Linked DNA regions of Saccharomyces cerevisiae S288C. The protein of the gene in region 3 purifies or fractionates together with the protein of the main gene of each other region. This does not show direct contact. Each region holds a gene or a part of one and is shown on either strand. Other genes may lie near its edges.

Region 1 (5,237 bases), on a different chromosome or scaffold from region 3:
AACTTTCTATCTTCTGGGTTTATCGACTGTCATCGGCGCTCCATTAAGTGAAGTGTTTGGTCGTAAGCCTGTCTATTTATTTTCCCTACCTGTGTCAATGCTTTTCACCATGGGTGTTGGGTTATCCAATGGCCACATGAGAATAATTCTACCCCTAAGGTTTTTATCAGGTGTCTTTGCATCCCCCGCCTTATCCGTTGGATCAGGTACCATCCTGGATATCTTTGACGTGGACCAGGTCTCCGTCGCAATGACATACTTTGTTCTATCTCCATTCTTAGGGCCAGTTTTATCTCCTATTATGGCAGGATTTGCTACTGAAGCCAAAGGCTGGCGTTGGTCTGAATGGATCCAATTGATTGCGGGCGGTCTAATCTTGCCATTTATTGCGCTCATGCCAGAGACCCATAAAGGTATTATTTTAAGAAAGCGTGCCAAGAAGAGAAATATAGCCTTGAAGAAGTTCAGCAGGGAAGCTCAGAAAGAATTTTTAAAAACCACTGTCACTATTACAATCTTAAGGCCTTTAAAAATGCTTGTCGTTGAACCTATTGTATTTGTTTTCAGTGTTTATGTCGCTTTCATATTCGCCATTTTATTTGGATTTTTCGAAGCATACGCTGTCATTTATCGTGGTGTTTACCACATGTCTATGGGGATATCTGGCTTGCCATTTATTGGTATTGGTGTCGGGTTATGGATAGGTGCTTTCTTTTACCTTTACATCGACAGAAAATATCTCTTCCCTAAACCACCAGCTGGCACTCAACCACTCACCGAAAAAGAGAGAACTTCTAAAAGGACTACCCCTTACAGAGGTGCAAGAGACGCTGAAACAGGTGAATTGCTACCCGTTGTTCCAGAAAAATTTTTAATTGCCTGTAAATTTGGTTCTGTAGCTTTGCCTATCGGCCTGTTTTGGCAAGCCTGGACTGCTAGATCAGATGTCCACTGGATGGCTCCTGTGGCTGCCGGTGTGCCATTTGGTTTTGGTTTAATTTTGATTTTTTTCAGCGTTTTAATGTACTTCTCTACATGCTATCCGCCATTAACTGTGGCATCCTGTTTGGCTGCCAATAATCTATTAAGATACGTTATGAGTAGTGTATTCCCATTGTTTACCATCCAAATGTACACAAAGATGAAAATCAAATGGGCAAGCACTTTATTTGCATTAGTTTGCGTTGTGATGATTCCAATTCCATGGGTTTTTGAAAAATGGGGGAGCAAATTAAGACACAAGTCACAATTTGGTTATGCCGCCATGGAAAAGGAGGCTGAGACCGAAGGTGGTATAGATGACGTAAATGCTGTCGATGGTGAATTGAATCTAACAAGGATGACCACGTTAAGGACCATGGAAACAGACCCTTCGACTAGAGAAAAACCAGGTGAAAGGCTATCTCTGCGCAGGACCCATACGCAGCCCGTTCCTGCCTCGTTTGATCGCGAGGACGGGCAACATGCGCAAAATCGTAATGAACCCATTTCCAATAGTTTATACTCAGCTATCAAGGATAATGAAGACGGTTATTCGTATACGGAAATGGCCACCGATGCTTCCGCCAGAATGGTTTGAAAAGGTCTTAAGACAGATCACAATTGCATATATTCAAATAGTAAATTGGGGGATAGCTGGATAAAATTCACCAATTTAAATTTATAGAAGTTTCATACAAGTACACATTATCATAGAAGTATTTTTTTTTTTAGCAAGTAATGTCGTTTTACATAAAGAAGAAGGTGACAGAAATTTGCGAAAGCTGTTGGCAAAACCAAATTTATTTCAAGTATATCAGTACATTATTCTACATAAAAACAACAACAGTTTTTTCTCAGTTTTTGAAAATGTTGTCTCCTTTATTTATTTGAATCTTTTTGTCTTGACCAGCGCTGATAATACCCACTTTTTCAGCCCATTTGACAGCAAAAACTTTGTCATTGACGCCCTTTTGGACCGATTTGTCTTCTCTTGTTATGGTGTACATCGGAGAAGTAGACCTGACGTCCCATACCTTCACGGTACCATCGTGAGAACCCGAGCATAATATATACTCATTCTCGGGACAAGTGTCCAGAGAGGAAACGAAGTTCTTATGACCAATTAGTTGTTGCTGAGTAACTTTGGAAGACGCTCCCACACGTGGGTCATGCAATGTGATGTGTCTGGCGCTGGACCCACATGCTAACAAGTTCAAAGTCGACAATTGAGCAATGGAAAGCAACGAGTACGATGTTGTTCTTGTATCTATACATCTCGCGGTGACCAAATCCCATGTCTTGATGGTATGATCTTGTGATACTGAATAACCAACGGTATTATCTGTAGAATCGAAGATCACTTGCTCAACAGGAGCTGTATGGGATTCTAACAGAGACAGAGGGGCACGTCTTCTAATGGTACCATCTTTCATTGTCAATTTTCTCCTTTTTCTAGCAGCAGTGGATATTTTATTGTTTGGATTGTTTATATCTTCTAATGGATCAACAACTGTCATTTCCTTATAAATAGTAGACCAGAACCCAATAGAATTGTCGTATGATGCAGATAATATTCTTGAGTTGTCTGAAACATCAATAGAGACTACTGGTGCCTTATGACCTTCCAAGATAGCCAGTGTCTTACCGTCCTCTATGTTTACTTCGTCATCATCGTCTTCCTGTGCCTGTTGTTGTGAAGTTAATTTCAAATCATCGTTTTTGGTTTTCCATAATCTCAAAGTACGGTCGTTACCAGCCGAAACTAGCCTTGTATTGGAAATGTATTTTACTGCACGGATTGGGCCAGAATGACCACTGTACTGCTTTTGCACATTACCTGATAAATCCCAGGTGCGAACTATACCATCGTAAGAACCACTAATAATATGCTTGGAACCGTCGCCGACATCCAATGAGCTAACCCAGTCCTCATTGCTGAAACTATTCAAATAGGATGGTGGAAGAATTGCCCTGGTATATTCTACATTCAGCGAGGCTTCGCTCGATAAACCTTTCTTGGTCAAATAGTCGTGCAATGAAGTACGTAACAATTCACCTTCAATCAAGAAATCGAAAGGAACAGGCTTTTCCGAGCCCAACAAGTGATTGACAATTTCGGACAACCCATATCTCTTTAATGAGATGGGGGCGTACATTGGAGTATCTTGTACATGTAGTAATTCATCTTTCTCACGCGTGAAAAACCTGATTTTAACCTGCGATTTATCTTCTGTCATATTGAATTTGTGCAGTTTCCCTTGGTATTGTCTTTAAAACTTTAGGTAACGTATTGGTTCTGCGAACATAGAATATGTCTTTTTGCAATTATACAGATGAGCATATGCCTTTCACTGCTCCTACGGTTTGCGATGAGATGAGCACTTCAGAAAATTTTTGAAAAATTTTTGAAGTACTGGCCGGGTAACAGAAAACTGTCAAACCCTCTTGTGCAAGAAATAAGCTAAAGTTCTCCCTAAGAATAAAATAGTAAAGGAAGCTATTGCTACAGATAAATATAAATGAATGAAAGATATCTCACTCGCGCAGCTACCGATCTGGGCCAATGGGAGACACTAAAAGAAGCACCTGTGAGAAGCGCCCAGAACAGTATGAGGACGCTCATGAGTGTGGGAGTTGCTCTAGCTCTTCTTTTCCCCTCTGATCACCTACGGATGTAAGATGGCACAGTGAATAGAAGGCATGTTTAATATGTATCATGCCTTCTTCGGAACCGAAAATCAAAGATAACTAAAAAATGAAAGAAGAGTAATACTAGAAAAATGATCGCTGCCTCGGCGCTTTTTATACCAATGGTGCCCGAGACGAACGAAAAGTTTTTCTTTCGTACTGGCGTCCGGTACCGGAGCGTACCAGATTGAGGTAATTGGATAAGAGACTGTTAGGTCTTCGCATCAGCTTTACAGTTTTCAAAGGCGTCGACCACTGCAAGTTAGCAATAATAAAACCACACAGCATCGAAAGAAAAAAATAAACAAGGCAGAGAAATATGGCATCATCAGTCCCAGGGCCCATCGATTTGCCCGAATCCCGCTATGACTTATCCACGTATTGGGGTAGAATCCGCCATTGCGCAGAGATTTCCGACCCCACTATGTTGTTAACTACTGAGAAGGACCTGGCGCATGCTAGAGAAATCATCAGTGCGTATCGTCACGGTGAACTAAAAGAGACTACTCCGGAGTTCTGGCGAGCCAAGAAACAACTGGACTCCACCGTGCATCCGGACACAGGGAAGACAGTTCTTTTGCCCTTCCGTATGTCTTCCAACGTGCTATCAAACCTAGTCGTTACTGTAGGTATGCTGACGCCTGGTTTGGGTACGGCAGGGACTGTATTTTGGCAATGGGCAAATCAATCGCTAAACGTCGCCGTTAATTCCGCTAACGCAAACAAATCTCATCCTATGTCCACGTCCCAATTGCTCACCAATTACGCTGCCGCTGTAACTGCGTCGTGTGGTGTTGCGTTAGGTCTAAATAACCTAGTTCCCAGGTTGAAAAACATTTCTCCACATTCAAAGTTGATCTTGGGCCGTTTGGTGCCATTTGCCGCCGTGGTCAGTGCCGGTATTGTCAACGTCTTCCTAATGAGAGGCAACGAAATTAGAAAGGGTATTTCTGTGTTTGACTCTAACGGTGACGAAGTCGGAAAGTCCAAGAAGGCTGCCTTCATGGCAGTTGGTGAAACTGCATTAAGTAGAGTGATTAACGCCACTCCAACTATGGTCATCCCACCTTTGATTTTGGTTAGACTACAACGCGGTGTCCTCAAAGGTAAGTCTCTCGGTGTGCAAACTTTGGCCAATTTGGGGTTGATCTCAGTCACAATGTTCTCAGCTTTGCCATTTGCACTCGGTATCTTCCCTCAAAGACAAGCAATCCATTTAAATAAACTAGAACCTGAACTACATGGCAAGAAGGATAAGGATGGGAAGCCAATTGAAAAGGTCTATTTTAACAGAGGTATTTAGAAGTGAAGAGACAAATTTATATAGTTATAGAATAAATATCAGATAGATAAGAAAAAAAAATTAGTTAAACATTAATATATATATATGTGTAGTGACTGACATACGTATGACTGCTAGTAATCCAGTTGCCGAGCTATTGTTGCAGATTGAAATGTCATCACGTGGACATTATATCATCATTAACGACTAATGCGTCAAAAAAAAAATGGGCTAAAAAAAAAAAAAGCAAAAAAAAGAAACTCAGATAAGTCGATATGGAAAACCT
Region 2 (4,039 bases), on a different chromosome or scaffold from region 3:
GGAGCAGGGATGACTCTGTGACACCACATTAGATATCCACCACCACCTTTCATGGTCATCAGAGGGTGTAGCTTACCCCTTATACTTTGGTACGGCCTACATCTAGTTTCCAAAATTGATGGTGCTAAAAACCTGAGGTCTGAATATAAAGTATGAGCTAATTCCAACAAAGTTTCTTTGAATTGACCATAGCATACAATCGGCCTTGAACCATGGATTTTTTCGGCCAACTTTGGCACTAGTGTTGGTAAATGTAGTGTAGTAGCCATTACAAGACCGTCATATAGGAATTCTCCTGTTAGTTCTAAAATTTGCCATTGTGTATTGTACCATCTGAGTTTTCGGTAGTACGAGTTTTTCTTACCACCTTTTAATGCACGGGCTTCTTCTTTAGGTAATGGTGTAAATCTGCTCTGAATCTCTTGTAGTGTAGGCGGTTCAAAAAAATCTAATAGAGAAATGGTGTGTACATGCTCTTTAATAAATTTCTCAGAATAATTAGCAAACTTCAGCAAATCCAAGTTGGCATGTTCATTTTCGTGAATAACTATGACTTTGCCCTTGGATTTGCTTTCATTGTCACCGCCAAACATTCTTTCCAACAGAAAGTAAACCAATAACCCACCCGTTTCATCCATACAGAGATAGTTGCCTTCTGATTGGATGTTCGCAAGATTTAACAGCATCCCCATCGATTCCTGAGACATATCCAATACCCTTTGGATATCGCCTTTGTCGATTAAGAATTGTAAAAGGTTAGAGCTACTTAAATACTCAACGGTGAAGTACTTGGCGAATTTTTGTTTCTTCCTATTCACATATTTCTCTTGAGAATATACGGTCTTGTTGTGAAAACTTTTGTGAGATTTGATAATTTTGTCGATTATTTCTTTACTAGATAAAGATTCTTGTTTCATTTTTTCAATTTCTTCAACGGTTAACTCTTGGGCCTTGCTGCCCATGTTAACCAGATTCTGATTCGTAGCACTGCTGTCAATGCTAGACAATTCAAGAGACACAGATTTTTCCTTAATAGATAAAGGAGGCTCGCTTTGACCATCGTCTTTATCATTATTGACATCTTTGATCTCCTGCGATAATAGCCTTACTTTCCCGATGGGAATTTTGTTCTTTGGTTTCGAATCTCTATTTTCATCGGATGAAACCTCTTCGCCATCATAATATATCTCGAAAGTCAACCCGAAAGGATAACCAATTATGTCATTAACCTCGAAAGCACCGAATTTTCCTAATGATACAGAGGTGTTGGGCTTTAGTTCCACTATCTTGTAATTTTTTGATGGCAGCCGGACGATAACGTGCTGATTAAAATCTATGGTTGTCAAAGCATTCATTGTGCACTAAATTCAAAGTTTTTTTGTCCAATTCGTTTGCAACAATGTGAGTAGGATCCAACGTGCCAAAGAATTTAAAGTTGAATATTATTATTGTTATTATACACCTCATCGACTTTTTTTTTTTTTTTGATGAAATTTTTCAGATTTTACAAAACCGTTACCCAGTTTCACGTTTTCTGAAAAAAATTTTCATCTCATCGCAGAATAAGTTTAAGATGAGCTGAGCTGCAAATACAGTTGTCGCTAAGGTATATAGATTTGTAATTCTGGCGGAATTCCCCTTGTGTTGGCTAATATTAGAATTACATATACATATAATAGGAAATGGGTAGTAGACGTCATAAGAACAAGCAAGCCGCCCCACCAACCCTGGAGGAGTTTCAGGCAAGAAAGGAAAAGAAGGCTAATAGAAAGCTAGAAAAAGGAAAGAGACCTTCTACCACGCAAGGGGATGAAGTTTCTGATAGAAAGAAAAAGAAGTCGAAGCCATTCAAGAAATCTAGAAAAGAGGAGGAAGAAGTTGTTGAAGAGGATAAGGATTTGCCAGAAGTTGATCTTGAAGAATTATCAAAAGCCAGGAAATCTTTATTTGATGATGAAGAAGATGACGATGAAGCAGGATTGGTGGATGAAGAACTAAAAGATGAATTTGACTTGGAACAAGAATATGATTACGATGAAGATGAAGATAATGACGCCCACCCAATTTTTTCAGATGACGACGATGAGGCTGATCTTGAAGAACTAAATGCACAAAACATGGAAGCTCTTTCTAAGAAACTTGATGAAGAAGAAGCTGAAGAAGCTGAAGAAGCCGAAATGGAGTTAGTGGAAGCGGAGAACATGCAACCAAGAGCAGACATATTGCCCACTGAGGAGCAGGAAGAAATGATGGCACAAGAAACTCCTAATTTAACTTCCACAAGAACAAGAATGATTGAAATTGTAAAGGTTTTGGAAAATTTTAAGACTCTTGGTGCAGAAGGCAGATCGAGAGGAGAATACGTTGACAGACTTTTGAAAGATATTTGTGAGTACTTTGGTTATACACCATTTTTGGCGGAAAAGTTATTCAATCTATTCTCACCAGCAGAGGCGATGGAGTTTTTCGAAGCCAATGAAATTGCAAGACCAATAACCATCAGAACCAACACCTTGAAGACCAGAAGGAGAGACTTAGCTCAAACTCTTGTGAATAGAGGTGTTAATCTACAACCTATTGGTTCTTGGACTAAAGTTGGTCTTCAAATATTCGATTCCCAAGTCCCAATTGGTGCTACGCCAGAATATTTGGCAGGTCACTATATTTTACAAGCGGCATCATCTTTTCTACCAGTTATTGCTCTAGATCCTCATGAAAATGAGCGTATCTTGGATATGGCAGCTGCTCCAGGTGGTAAGACCACTTATATATCAGCTATGATGAAAAACACAGGTTGTGTTTTCGCTAACGACGCCAATAAATCTAGAACAAAATCTTTAATTGCTAATATCCACCGTCTAGGCTGTACCAACACTATTGTATGCAATTACGATGCCCGTGAGTTCCCTAAGGTAATTGGAGGTTTTGACAGAATTTTACTGGATGCCCCATGTTCCGGTACTGGTGTTATCGGTAAGGATCAATCTGTCAAGGTGTCTCGTACCGAGAAGGACTTCATTCAAATTCCACATCTACAAAAACAATTGCTTCTATCCGCCATTGATTCTGTTGATTGCAACTCGAAACATGGTGGTGTAATAGTATATTCGACATGTTCTGTTGCAGTGGAAGAGGACGAAGCTGTCATAGACTATGCATTGAGAAAAAGACCGAATGTCAAGTTAGTCGATACTGGTTTAGCGATCGGTAAAGAAGCGTTTACTAGTTACAGAGGCAAAAAGTTTCATCCTAGTGTGAAATTAGCGAGGAGGTACTATCCACATACGTACAACGTCGATGGGTTCTTTGTCGCTAAATTCCAAAAGATCGGTCCATCTTCGTTTGATGATAACCAAGCAAGTGCAAAAGAAAAGGAAACTGCTGCTAGAAAGGAAGCTTTGGAAGAAGGTATCATTCACTCTGACTTCGCAACCTTCGAGGACGAAGAAGACGATAAGTACATTGAAAAGTCTGTGAAAAACAATCTTTTGAAAAAGGGTGTCAATCCAAAAGCTAAAAGACCTTCTAACGAAAAATAAGTTCCCACAAACGTAGTGGCATCATGTTAGCATAGTTTTCTCTCTCTAATCTTTCTCTGTCTACATATATATATATATATATATATATCAATTTCAAATATGTCTCACTGTATATTAAATTCAAAATAGAAATAATAAAGCCGATTTGTAAACAGCACTAAGAAAAAAGGCGATGATATTACTTATTAATATTCGTTGCCAATATAGTATTACATATATCTCTATTTATTTCTCTTTTTTTGTTTTTAAGGCGTTTCAGTTTGCTGTCTCCTTAGTCTTCAAAATACTTCGTATTCCCTAACTTATGCTCTTTGATGTACTCTGGACCGTACTCTTCGTATTCTTTCTTACTGATAACTGTTTTCCTATACTGTTCTTCGTTTCGTGCTAGAGCTGCCATACCCTTCCAGGCATCCAATGAAGGATCTGAAGACATATTTACAGTGATATTGGTACCGGTAGGAAGGAATCCAGTGAATTCCTTCACAATACGTTCTTTC
Region 3 (6,106 bases):
TGAATATGGTACTGCCTCGAATATTAAATCTAGGGTTAATCGTCTTTCCGTTTTATCTGCTATCACTTCCACCCAACAAAAGTTGAAGCTATATAATACTTTGCCCAAGAACGGTTTAGTTTTATATTGTGGTGATATCATCACTGAAGATGGTAAAGAAAAAAAGGTCACTTTTGACATCGAACCTTACAAACCTATCAACACATCCTTATATTTGTGTGATAACAAATTTCATACAGAAGTTCTTTCGGAATTGCTTCAAGCTGACGACAAGTTCGGTTTTATAGTCATGGACGGTCAAGGTACTTTGTTTGGTTCTGTGTCCGGTAATACGAGAACTGTTTTACATAAATTTACTGTCGATCTGCCAAAAAAGCATGGTAGAGGTGGTCAATCTGCGCTTCGTTTTGCTCGTTTAAGAGAAGAAAAAAGACATAATTATGTGAGAAAGGTCGCCGAAGTTGCTGTTCAAAATTTTATTACTAATGACAAAGTCAATGTTAAGGGTTTAATTTTAGCTGGTTCTGCTGACTTTAAGACCGATTTGGCTAAATCTGAATTATTCGATCCAAGACTAGCATGTAAGGTTATTTCCATCGTGGATGTTTCTTATGGTGGTGAAAACGGTTTCAACCAGGCTATCGAACTTTCTGCCGAAGCGTTGGCCAATGTCAAGTATGTTCAAGAAAAGAAATTATTGGAGGCATATTTTGACGAAATTTCCCAGGACACTGGTAAATTCTGTTATGGTATAGATGATACTTTAAAGGCATTGGATTTAGGTGCAGTCGAAAAATTAATTGTTTTCGAAAATTTGGAAACTATCAGATATACATTTAAAGATGCCGAGGATAATGAGGTTATAAAATTCGCTGAACCAGAAGCCAAGGACAAGTCGTTTGCTATTGACAAAGCTACCGGCCAAGAAATGGACGTTGTCTCCGAAGAACCTTTAATTGAATGGCTAGCAGCTAACTACAAAAACTTCGGTGCTACCTTGGAATTCATCACAGACAAATCTTCAGAAGGTGCCCAATTTGTCACAGGTTTTGGTGGTATTGGTGCCATGCTGCGTTACAAAGTTAATTTTGAACAACTAGTTGATGAATCTGAGGATGAATATTATGACGAAGATGAAGGATCCGACTATGATTTCATTTAAATAAATAAAAGGGGGAGAAAAAAATCGAATCAAAAAGAATTTAATCACTAGATGCCAGATTTAAATTAAATTCGCTTTTAATTTTTTGTACAATATAATATATACTTGGTAAACCTTTTGCTCTATATTGAGCTAATTCCTTTGTTGAAAGTACATAGTGGGTTTAGAGGACCGTGTATATTACGTAGAAAATACAGTGAAAGGAGAGTTTCTCTTCAAAAGCCTCGAGATTAATTATTTCTCTTTTTCTTTTTCTTCAAAGTTTCTAAGGCGTTTGTCTTTTCATGACCAATGATAGAATTATGACCTCTTTTTTTGACCAAGTTATCAGCTAAATTCACTAGCCCACCTGTCAAATATTTCTGTCTTCTATCTTTACGTATAGGCACTGATAACAATTCGTTCAACGTAGCTCTCATGGCTTTTACCTTGTCCTTATTTATAGTCTTCTGCATTTTTTTATTTTTATTTTTTAGTAAGAAAGTGTCCGAATTACTCTTTGATATATCGTCTTCGTCGGAATCAACGTCAATACCTAATTCATCAGCAGCCTTTTTTAACCAATTGTCATCTTTTCTTAGGGAATTAGAAGCAATTTCATGATCAGCCAGTTCGCCTGCTAATCTACTTCTTTCTCTGAGTTGTGAAAGTATATCGGTTTCAATTGGTAACAAAGGCACAGTGTTTTGCCACTTGATGGGTTTTCTGTTAGTTGATCTAGAGTTCAAATCCGTCGAAACACTATTTTTTGTAGCGAGAGTTTTTCTTAACTTTCTTAATGGGCCCATAGATTCTTGAGGTGAGCATATCATGGCAGAGACACCTTCAGAACCTGCTCTTGCAGTTCTGCCTGATCTATGAATATAAATATCAGTAGATCTTGGTAAGTGGTAATGAATAACGTGTTGAACACCCGGAATATCTAAACCTCTAGCAGCAACATCACTTGCAATCAATACTGTTGAGAGTTGAACGGAATCCGGATTCGAATGATTTATTGTTTTCTGTTTAGCGCTTTGTTGCTTGAACCTTTCTAAGCTTTTCAAACGGTTCTTTTGTGTCATGGAAGAATGAATTTGAAAAGCTGGGATGCCTAGGTTATTTAAGTATACGGTCAATTTCTTCACGGAGTCAATGGCATTACAAAAGATCAAAGTTGTACCTGGGAACATGGTTAAAAAGTAATAGCAGTATAGGTCACGTTCTAATGGAGGACATTCAATTAAGGATTCTTTGATTTGAGAGCTCACTTTTGACTCAGGATTTGTATCTATTATAACCGGCTTTGAGTTGAAGTGAATTTTGCTCATTAAGTGTTGTATTACGGCATTTAGCTCATCTTCGTTGTTTTTAAACCTTCTATCCTTAACTTGACGGGAAGAAGATAGCTTATCAAACAAGTCGATGGAGAATGTTGCAGAAAAGATCAAAGTTTGCCAAATTTTGCTACTGCCCTCGGAGTTTTCTCTGTTTTTCCTTCTTTCTACTAATAAATGTTTAATGATTTTTTCGAACTCGTCGAAATGACCGTCTTGTAACAGCCTATCAGCCTCATCAAGGATTAGCGTATTTACTTTCGAGAATCTTTTGATTAAAGTGTTGTCTTTTTCCAACAGTTCCAAAAATCTACCTGGTGTTGCGATGACAATTTGGCCACTATTATCGTACTTTAATAGACGTTGTTGTTTTTGGATAGAGAGTCCACCTGTCAAAGATAATATCGAGTACTGAGATTTCGCTAGAACAGGCTCACAGATCTTTTTTAAGTGGTCTGTGACTTGATGCGCCAGTTCTCTTGTAGGAGTAAAGATTAACGATATTGGTTTCTTGTTTTTCTGAGAGAAGTTACTGATCAGTTTCTCTACAATTGGAATACCATAGGCTAAAGTTTTACCTGAACCTGTAGAGGCTTTCCCCATGACGTCTACGCCTTGCATAATAACTGGAATAGACTTTTTTTGAATTTCTGTAGGTCTGAGAAAATTTAAATTCTGCAAGCTCTGCAAAATAGTCATTGAGAGAGGTGCAAGATTCGTCCATTCAGGTAAATTTACAGGAGAAATATCATCGATATTAATGTCTTTGTTAAAGACGTTTTCTTTCAAAACATCCTCATCCACATCCTCATCCACATCCTCACTGGGATCGGTTAACTTTGAACTCTCAATATTACCTTGCTCATCCTCGTCGGATGATGAATAAGATGCTGCACTCAACTCTCCTTCTTTAATATCGTCCAAGTTCTTGAATTCAAGGAGCTCGGACTCCGAATCTGACCCTGATTCATTTTCCACAGATTCCTGATCATCTCCGACTTTTTCCTTATTGCTATCTTTTAACACTTTTGAATCTTTTTTGGTGACGAAAGTTACTTTACCATCCACGACTTTAACGTCCACTCCGTCAATTTCTTCCAAGCCATAAAATCCACCAAAGTCATCTAAAGTGTCCGGAATATCTACTGGTTTCCAGTTCAATTTGGATTCATCTACAATTATCTCCTGTGGCTTTGTGACCGTTTTTCCTTTTTGAGGAGCCCTTTTCTTACCCATGATGGAAAAACTGATTATGCCGGTATTTGACTAAAGAATTTCTACCTGAGGTTATGATGATAATGATGGGCAGGTTGGCGAATATAACTTTTTTAGATGGAAATTCTTATAAGCTCATCGCTGGAAAAGTTTTTCAGAGAAAAAGAAAAGTACGGACTAACTAACCTTGAGGCGGGTTTGTGAGGTGAAAAAAAATATAACAATTATAATATCGATGAGCTAGCCATGACCTTGATGGCAATCTTGTATCAGCTTAGCGATACCACTAATACAGCGGAATGCATTCAAGAAAGTCGAAGAGTATTACGGGCAAGAGGAAGCAAGTAGGAAGTAACGTGACGAGAGTAATCAAGCCACAGAAGACAAGAAGGATAATAAGAAGATTCCACCATTTAATTAATAAGCGTCAATCGATATGCAAGTTTTTATGCCTTAAGGAAAACCTAGATGATTCCAACGAGGAGAAGAATGACAAAATTATCAGGTTAAGTATTAAAGGTAATGTAAGACTGGGCAAGTACTATGAAGACGGCAAATCGCAGTCCTTCAATGATGCTATGGAATCACAACTACTGAGGCTGCACTCATTAATTAAAAATGAATCCAAATCAAAGGATACTTCTGACTTGGCTGTGATGTACACATTACTTGGTTACATAATGAATCAGATTAATAAATTGGGAGGACTAGAAACTTACCAAATTGCCAGTCAAAACGGGCAATTGAAGGAACGAGGAGGAGACACGTCCAAGTTGCTCGAGAAATGGATCAGGTCCTCATTTGAAAATTGTCCTGGAGCAGTGGCATTAGAAATTGGTTCATTGAGCTCCGGAAATCGCATATCCCGTTGTGCACTTTTTAGAAATGTGGTTCGTATAGATTTAGAGGAACATGAAGGCGTTATTAAGCAGGATTTTATGGAAAGACCGCTACCGAGAAATGAAAACGACAAATTCGACCTGATATCATGCTCTCTAGTGCTAAATTTTGTCAAAAATCACAGGGATCGCGGTGCAATGTGCCATCGCATGGTCAAATTTCTCAAGCCGCAAGGCTACATCTTTATTGTTCTGCCACAAGCCTGTGTGACGCACTCAAGATACTGCGACAAAACACTGTTACAAAACCTCCTCGGCTCTATCGGGCTCATAATGCTTAATAGCCATCAAAGTAATAAGTTGTACTATTGTTTGTATCAATTGCAGGTAGTTCCACCGCAGCCGAGTAGCTTTTCCAAAAGAATCAAGGTTAACGACGGCCCTGGGTTGAACAATTTTGGTATTACCCTCTAAGCGAGCCGACACCGCCTGGAAGTTTTTCATAAAGGGATACAATATAGAAAGATGTGTAAAAACGTTAAGTAAAAGATGAGCAAATGAACAGTGTTCGAAGGAGAATAACAAGAGTTACTGCTCATATAAAACTAATATACTAAAGGTTTTCGCTTTGTATTACGATTGAAACAATTAACTGTTTTTTTTTTTTCCGCTTATTACACAGTACCGGTTTCATTTACGCCTTTGATCATTTTATTGGCATTGGGCTCATAGTAGTTTTCAGCGCGTGGTTAAGCTATTTAACGAAAGCGTATAAAGTCAAGTGATCATCTTTTGCCCTGCAAATAGAGCTTCAAACTTAACATTCTTCTTCAGCATATAACATACAACAAGATTAAGGCTCTTTCTAAAATGAATCAAAGCGATCCGCAAGACAAAAAAAATTTCCCAATGGAATACTCTTTGACCAAGCATCTTTTTTTTGATAGGCTTCTACTTGTTCTTCCCATAGAATCTAATTTGAAAACATATGCTGATGTGGAGGCAGATTCAGTTTTCAATTCGTGTCGGTCCATCATTTTGAATATAGCCATCACTAAGGACTTGAACCCGATTATCGAAAACACATTAGGTTTAATTGACTTGATTGTGCAAGATGAAGAAATTACGTCTGACAATATTACAGATGATATTGCCCATTCTATATTGGTTCTTTTGAGATTACTGAGTGATGTTTTTGAGTATTACTGGGATCAAAACAATGACTTCAAGAAAATTAGAAACGATAATTACAAACCGGGATTTTCAAGTCACAGGCCAAACTTCCATACATCTAGGCCAAAGCACACGAGAATCAATCCAGCTTTGGCGACGATGTTACTATGTAAAATTTCTAAGCTGAAGTTCAATACAAGAACTTTAAAGGTTTTACAGAACATGTCTCACCATCTTTCTGGCAGCGCTACTATCTCAAAATCGAGTATTTTACCCGATTCACAGGAATTTTTACAAAAGAGAAACTATCCAGCATATACCGAGAAAATAGATTTAACAATAGATTATATCCAGAGATTCATATCTGCTTCCAATCATGTTGAATTCACAAAGTGTGTCAA
Region 4 (6,665 bases), on a different chromosome or scaffold from region 3:
ATGAAATTTTCTGCCATATTATGTACTATTGAATTGGAAATTAGGTTTGTCAGATGGAATACAGAAGGGATTAGAATTAATTTGTCAAATCCTGATAAACCATGGCAAAATACAATAGGATTTTTTGGGGGCTTGTACGAATCAGGAACTTTGACGGAGTCTATTATTATATCATTAGCTTTATTATCATTTTTCATTTTTTTTATGCTTTTCCTCCTTTAAAACAAGACGCTTTATTCTCTATATTCTTCCTTGTACATATTTTCAATAGCGGTTCATATTAGGCTCATTATGAGAAAAGGTTGGTGAGAAATTTAGCATATTTTAAACAATCATTTAGCTAGATGAATCAGAATGTTTTTCCGACAAATAGTAGCTCGCGTGGCGTAATGGCAACGCGTCTGACTTCTAATCAGAAGATTATGGGTTCGACCCCCATCGTGAGTGCTTTGTTTCTTCCGTGATAGTTTAATGGTCAGAATGGGCGCTTGTCGCGTGCCAGATCGGGGTTCAATTCCCCGTCGCGGAGAATTTTTTTTAATTGATAGTAGCAGGTACAGGAGAAAGAGTAAATAATAGAAAGCAAGGTACGTGATGGGAATTGATCAAACTAATATCGCTATACCTATAAGAATTTGCGTGTTTGTATACGTAAAGAATATATAATATATTGATGTGTGCGCTGAGGAAGGTAAGTCTACACAATTTATCCGTTAGCCCAAATTAATCAAACAGCATATTTTTTAGTCCACTCCTTAGCGGTGGCTTCATACTTAGCCTTATCTGTCTTGTAGATTTGAGCAATTTCAGGGACCAAAGGATCGTCGGGATTAGCATCTGTTAAAAGAGAGCAAATAGACAACAAAACTTTTGAAAGGGTTAGCGCCGGTGACCACTGGTCCTTTAAAATATCAAGGCAGATATTACCACTCGAATTAATATTCGGATGATAAATTTTGGTCGTAAAGTTTACCTTCGGTGGCTTGAATGGATAATCAGTTGGAAAGTGAATAGACAAAAAGAAAACGCCACCAGCGTAGGGTGAGTCTGAAGGACCCATAATAGAGGCTTGCCAATGATACAGGTCATCCCCTACAGGTCCTGCTGAACATGAAGCAGGAGGATCTCTTCGGAAAAAAGTTCAAAAAAGAAACTCATGTTAGTAATCCTTTTTCTTTACAGATCAAGAAAAATCATTCATTTTATTTTTAACATACCTCCCTAAATCACTTAATTCCTTGGCAATACGCTTGGAGGAAGACATTTTTAGTTTAGTTGAGGGTGGTGAGCAGAAAATGACTTTTCAAGATGGTAGTCAATAAGCAGTCCTGACCTTGGAAAATAAAACTCCAACCATCTATTAAAATCCGGGATACAATTATTTTTTATAATTTTGGGTCGGCTATCTTTGGTACAAATGAGTAAGGCGGCAGCCGCTTTATTACCCGCTCGCAGTGGCAACTACCTCCACCACAGCCATGCTTCAAAAGCGCTTGCTACGAGAGTTTACACCGTACTAGCACTAGCAATACATCTAGATATCTAATTGAATTACGCACAATATAAGAAAAATCGGTTTATGAGCCTAATGAATGAGTACCAAAATAAGTAGGCAAAAAGTACAGCCTCTCATGGAACAATGAACACAACCCTAGTATAATTCATCTGTACTTTGGGACTTTCTGTGTAAGTAAACCAAGACATAATTTAATATATTTGAGAAATCTATCCTTATCCAATTGGTTGTTGCAGATGATTTCATATAAGCAAAAATGTTGGTATAACTTTCACCACATGCAATAGCAGATCTTTTGTATAACGCGTATTGCCCAACATAATCTAAGATCAGATCATTAATAAGAAAATCTCATTTCCAAAACCGATTGGACATATACTGTTTAGTAATAACCGCCGATATGATGTTCTTCCGTTCTCTTGCCTCTGTATTCCGTTACCCGTTGCAGAATGAAAAATTTTTTCTTTTGGCGATGAGGTAAAAAATTATCAGAGATGCCAAAGTAATGGAGTTGCGAATAAGAAAGCATTATGTCGTACACATCGGAAGCGAAATTCTATAGTTTGATAAATTTCTATAGATATTAAACCTCTCCAGTGTCTTTGTTGGTACAGTAATCAAAAATAATGAGTGAGAACAACGGCAATCCGCTGGATTTGTCTTCACTAAGAAATAAGATTTCGTCAAAATTGCGAGACAATAACAGCAAAAAGGCGAAGAAAACCCACAAAGGCAAGGACGTGAAGGCCAGTAGTAATTCAAAGAAGGTAAATGAGGACATACGTCGTGAAGCACTAGCATTGGGTGCCAGCGAAGAAGATCTAAAATTGATTCAAGGATTAAGCGATGATGATGACGCTAAGAGCGAACAGGAATTTGATGCCGTCGCTGACGAGGATGCTGACGACAAGGGATTCAAGAACGATCTTCAAAATTTCATGAAGAATGTAGGATTTGACCAACACAAACTCGAAGATGTAGACGATGACGATATAGAAGAAGAATCCACTAGCTCCAAAGAATCTAAAATACCCGCTCAAGAGAAGGAACATGCACAATCAAACATTGCATCATCGACAATAGAGAAAACCTCCCAAGAGTCAATCGATAATGGCAGTGAACAAGAAGAAAACACAGTAGAAGAGGCTAATCTTAGTTCAGACCAAGAGCCAGAATCAGAATCTGCAGAGAAAGAAAAGAAAGAGGAGAAAGATGGAGGTTTAATTACTCAAACTACTATTATCTCATCTGACAAACTTATTATTCCTTACGATAAACCATGGTATGAAATTCCATTGGATCCTCAAGTTGGACAAAATGATGATGTTGAAGAATTATCCAAGGAACAGATTGAGAAACTTTTTGAAAGAGGTAAGCAAACGCTAGAAGCTGACAACCAAACTTACTATGAGGAGTTTACAAAGGACTCATCGCAGGCCAAGTTCATGTCCCAAATCCTATCGGACGGTACCCTCAACGATAAAATATCTGCCGTAACTTTACTCATTCAAGATTCGCCATTGCATAACACTAAGTCTTTAGAAACTCTGGTTTCATATTGTGGCAAAAAATCGAGAAACTCTGCTTTACAGAGTTTAAACGCTTTGAAGGATTTATTCTTAAATGGTCTTTTGCCCAACAGAAAGCTGAGGTATTTCAAAAATCAACCTGGCTTATCTATGATGCTAAACAAGAAAACTCTTGCAATTTTCTATTTCGAAGATTATTTAAAGAAACTGTTCTTTCGTGTTTTAGAAGTCTTGGAAGTGCTTTCCCACGATCCAATTATTCACGTTAGATTACAAATATTAAATCATGTATTTGATTTATTGACCAACCAACCAGAGCAGGAATTTAATTTATTGAGATTAGGTGTAAATAAAATTGGTGATATTGATTCCAAAGTTTCTTCGAAGGCGTCATATTTACTACTGAAGTTGGAACAAGCTCATCCGAATATGAAATCTATTGTCATTGATGCTATCGTTGATATCGCATTGAGACCGAATGCGGATTATCATACCACTTACTATTCTGTTATTACTTTAAACCAAACCATCTTAAAAAGATCAGAAGACTCTGTTGCTAATAAATTAGTAAAAACATACTTCACTTTGTTTGAAAAATTCTTGATTAATACTGATAAAGACAATACCAATGGCGTTGTTAAGAGTAACTCAAAGTCGTATGAGGAGAAAAGAAAGAAGAACTTTAAAAAGGGTAAACACGGTGGTAAATCTGTAAAAATCGAAAAAACGGAAAATGAAGTTTTAGATGAAAAGAACTCAAAATTATTCAGTGCTTTGTTAACAGGTATCAATCGTGCATTCCCATTCGCTCAGATTCCAGCGTCTGTCTATGAAGTACATATGGAAACTCTTTTCAAAATCACACACTCCTCTAACTTTAACACCTCAATCCAAGCATTAGTTTTGATTAATCAAGTCACCGTCAAAGCAAAGTTGAACAGTGATCGATATTATAGAACATTATACGAAAGTTTATTTGACCCCAGACTGGTGAACTCTTCTAAGCAGGGTATTTACTTGAATTTACTATACAAATCATTAAAACAAGATGCACTCAACGTTGAACGAGTAGAAGCCTTTGTCAAGAGAATTCTTCAAGTTTGTTCTCATTGGTTGAACGTCGGCACCATTACTGGTTTTTTCTTCTTATTAATCCAGTTGGCTAAAACAGTTCCACAAATAAAAAATCTTCTAACCAACACGCCAGTTGATTACGAGTATGAATCTGATGCAGAAGAGGAGCAAGGGGACAAGGACATAAAAAGGAAGGAATACGACGGCCGCAAGCGTGATCCAAAGTTCGCCAATGCTGAAAAATCTTCTTTATGGGAAATCAACAACTTCATCAATCATTTTCATCCTACTGTGAAAACATATGCAAACGCCTATGTGACAGGAGAAACAGAGCAAATAGCTAAACCAGACCTGGGTCTATTTACTCTATCACACTTCCTTGACAGATTTGTCTACAGAAGTGCCAAGCAGACCAATACAGCAAGAGGTACATCTATTATGCAACCTCTGTTTAGTGGCTCACGAGTTAATGACTCTGTCTTAGTTAAGGCATCTGATATTATGCATGACCAGGGTCCCGTGAACACTGAAGACTGGCTAACTAAAAAAGTTGAAGATATCAAACCTGAAGATAAATTCTTTTATCAATATTTCACTACCAAGAAAACCGCTGATGGAAAAGGAAAGAAATCTAACAAAGCATCTAATTTCGATAGTGATGACGAAATGGATGAAAATGAAATTTGGAGTGCTTTGGTTAAATCGAGACCAGATGTTGAAGATGATAGCGACGACAGTGAACTTGACTTCGCTGAAGATGATTTCAGCGATTCAACTAGTGACGATGAACCTAAGCTGGACGCAATTGATGATGAAGATGCTAAAAGTGAAGGCAGCCAAGAAAGCGATCAAGAAGAAGGCCTCGATGAGGATATTTTTTACAGTTTCGATGGAGAACAAGACAATAGTGATAAAAAACGTTCCTTCGCTGAAAGTAGTGAAGAGGACGAGAGCAGCGAAGAAGAAAAAGAAGAAGAAGAAAATAAAGAGGTATCCGCAAAAAGAGCAAAGAAGAAGCAGAGAAAGAATATGCTCAAAAGTCTACCGGTATTTGCATCTGCCGACGATTATGCTCAATATTTAGATCAAGATTCAGACTAGAAAATAATAATACATTAACTAAACACTTCGGTGTTGTAAATTAAATAAGGAAAACAGAATTTTGTACAATAAAAAACGGTCCAATACGAAACCTTGAAGCGAAAGACGCATATCAGAGTTTTGCTGATAACTCTACTTATGTCCGCTTTTCAACATTATTAGAGCGGGAGTAAACGGAAAAAGAGTAATGCGGAAATAGAAACGGATTTTAGCTACAACTATGTCAGTTGAAATCGCCGAGATTGCTGACATCGTGAGACGAAACTAAAAACGATGGAACCACGTGACTCCTATTAGAAATAAATAATCCAGAACTCATTTTTAACCATTTTGTTTATATAGGCACATTTGTAGCGACAATTTTCTGTTAGCTAATTGCAGTAAGCAAAACAAATTTGTGAATACTTGATTAATATTCTGTGAAAGATTTTTTAATTATGAGTACCAATAAGTTCGTTGTACGAATAACGAATGCGCTCTTCAAGTCATCACTGGCTAGCAACAGTCCACCTGTTTACCCTAAGAGGATTAGGCATTTCGAGATTTTACCCAACGAAAAATGGGTTATATGGGGACCTGGAAAGGGCAAGTTCTTGGATGTACTGAATAACAAGTATATTTGTGAGCCCCCATTATCTTTGAGGTTTGGATTTTTGAAGGAAAGTTCGAACATCCTGCCGAGGATAGAGCAAGTGGCCTTCAAAGGGGTTATGCCAACGGCTCATTTAAGTGCTAGATATGAATACTTCAAAGATGACTACGATCAAACCTGCAAACAGTTTATATTTGATAAGGCAAGCGGATCAAATGCTGTTTCATATAAAGTTGAGACGAACAATCGGCAAATAAACATGGAGCTGTACAATGCATTAGTTGAAAATTTAAACCTCTCCAGTTTACAGGATAGGTGGGTAATGGGATTGAGTAATGGACAAATGAGGAGAGCAAGGTTAGCTCGTAGTATACTCAAGGAACCGGATCTACTACTTATTGACGACCCATTTTTAGGGTTGGATCCAGCCGCAATAGCAACCATTTCACAATTTTTAGCCAAATATGATAGTATAGAAGTCAGTGGCGGATGTCCAATCGTCATTGGTTTGAGGTATCAAGATACCATTCCAGCATGGTGTACTCATATATGTTGCGTTGATGAGAAAAACGGTATATTGTTTGAAGGCCCAATCGAAAAACTTCAAAGTAAAATGGATGAAACCAGATCAAGGGCACTAAAAGAACTAGAGCAGCTCAAAAAAGCGTCTAATTCCAAAGAGGACATTTCCATTAACGATTTGATTTGTATACATCCTATGTATGGCAAGAAAGAGCACGAAATTATCAAAATGCCTCATCTTATAGAATTAGACGGGTTGAGCGTTTCATACAAAGGCGAAGCTGTTTTGGAAAATCTGCACTGGAAAGTTCAGCCGGGTTCGAAATGGCAT

The links.
Region 1: the proteins of MAK5 (region 3) and YTM1 purify together in Saccharomyces cerevisiae (affinity purification with mass spectrometry; 5 studies listed by BioGRID). This does not show direct contact.
Region 2: the proteins of MAK5 (region 3) and NOP2 purify together in Saccharomyces cerevisiae (affinity purification with mass spectrometry; 4 studies listed by BioGRID, with this or other methods). This does not show direct contact.
Region 4: the proteins of MAK5 (region 3) and MAK21 purify together in Saccharomyces cerevisiae (affinity purification with mass spectrometry; 5 studies listed by BioGRID). This does not show direct contact.

Annotation. Positions count from the first base shown.
Region 1 is NC_001147.6:830,794-836,030, reverse strand, and holds YTM1 (Ytm1p), read right to left. Parts: upstream 3,219-5,237; coding exon 1,836-3,218; downstream 1-1,835. Other genes in the region: TPO4 (Tpo4p), read left to right, coding at 1-1,579; FSF1 (Fsf1p), read left to right, coding at 3,989-4,972. UniProt on the Saccharomyces cerevisiae protein: Component of the NOP7 complex, which is required for maturation of the 25S and 5.8S ribosomal RNAs and formation of the 60S ribosome.
Region 2 is NC_001146.8:508,858-512,896, forward strand, and holds NOP2 (rRNA (cytosine-C5-)-methyltransferase NOP2), read left to right. Parts: upstream 1-1,682; coding exon 1,683-3,539; downstream 3,540-4,039. Other genes in the region: tRNA 1-methyladenosine methyltransferase subunit GCD10, read right to left, coding at 1-1,355; actin-related protein ARP5, read right to left, coding at 3,811-4,039. UniProt on the Saccharomyces cerevisiae protein: S-adenosyl-L-methionine-dependent methyltransferase that specifically methylates the C(5) position of cytosine 2870 (m5C2870) in 25S rRNA. Required for 60S ribosomal subunit synthesis and processing.
Region 3 is NC_001134.8:525,925-532,030, reverse strand, and holds MAK5 (ATP-dependent RNA helicase), read right to left. Parts: upstream 3,715-6,106; coding exon 1,393-3,714; downstream 1-1,392. Other genes in the region: SUP45 (translation termination factor eRF1), read left to right, coding at 1-1,162; BMT2 (25S rRNA (adenine2142-N1)-methyltransferase), read left to right, coding at 3,993-5,006; GTPase-activating protein IRA1, read left to right, coding at 5,403-6,106. UniProt on the Saccharomyces cerevisiae protein: ATP-binding RNA helicase involved in the biogenesis of 60S ribosomal subunits and is required for the normal formation of 25S and 5.8S rRNAs. Required for the maintenance of dsRNA killer plasmid.
Region 4 is NC_001136.10:568,507-575,171, forward strand, and holds MAK21 (RNA-binding ribosome biosynthesis protein MAK21), read left to right. Parts: upstream 1-2,142; coding exon 2,143-5,220; downstream 5,221-6,665. Other genes in the region: TGL2 (triglyceride lipase), read right to left, coding at 1-197; E2 ubiquitin-conjugating protein UBC5, read right to left, coding at 728-1,127, 1,218-1,264; YDR061W (uncharacterized protein), read left to right, coding at 5,658-6,665.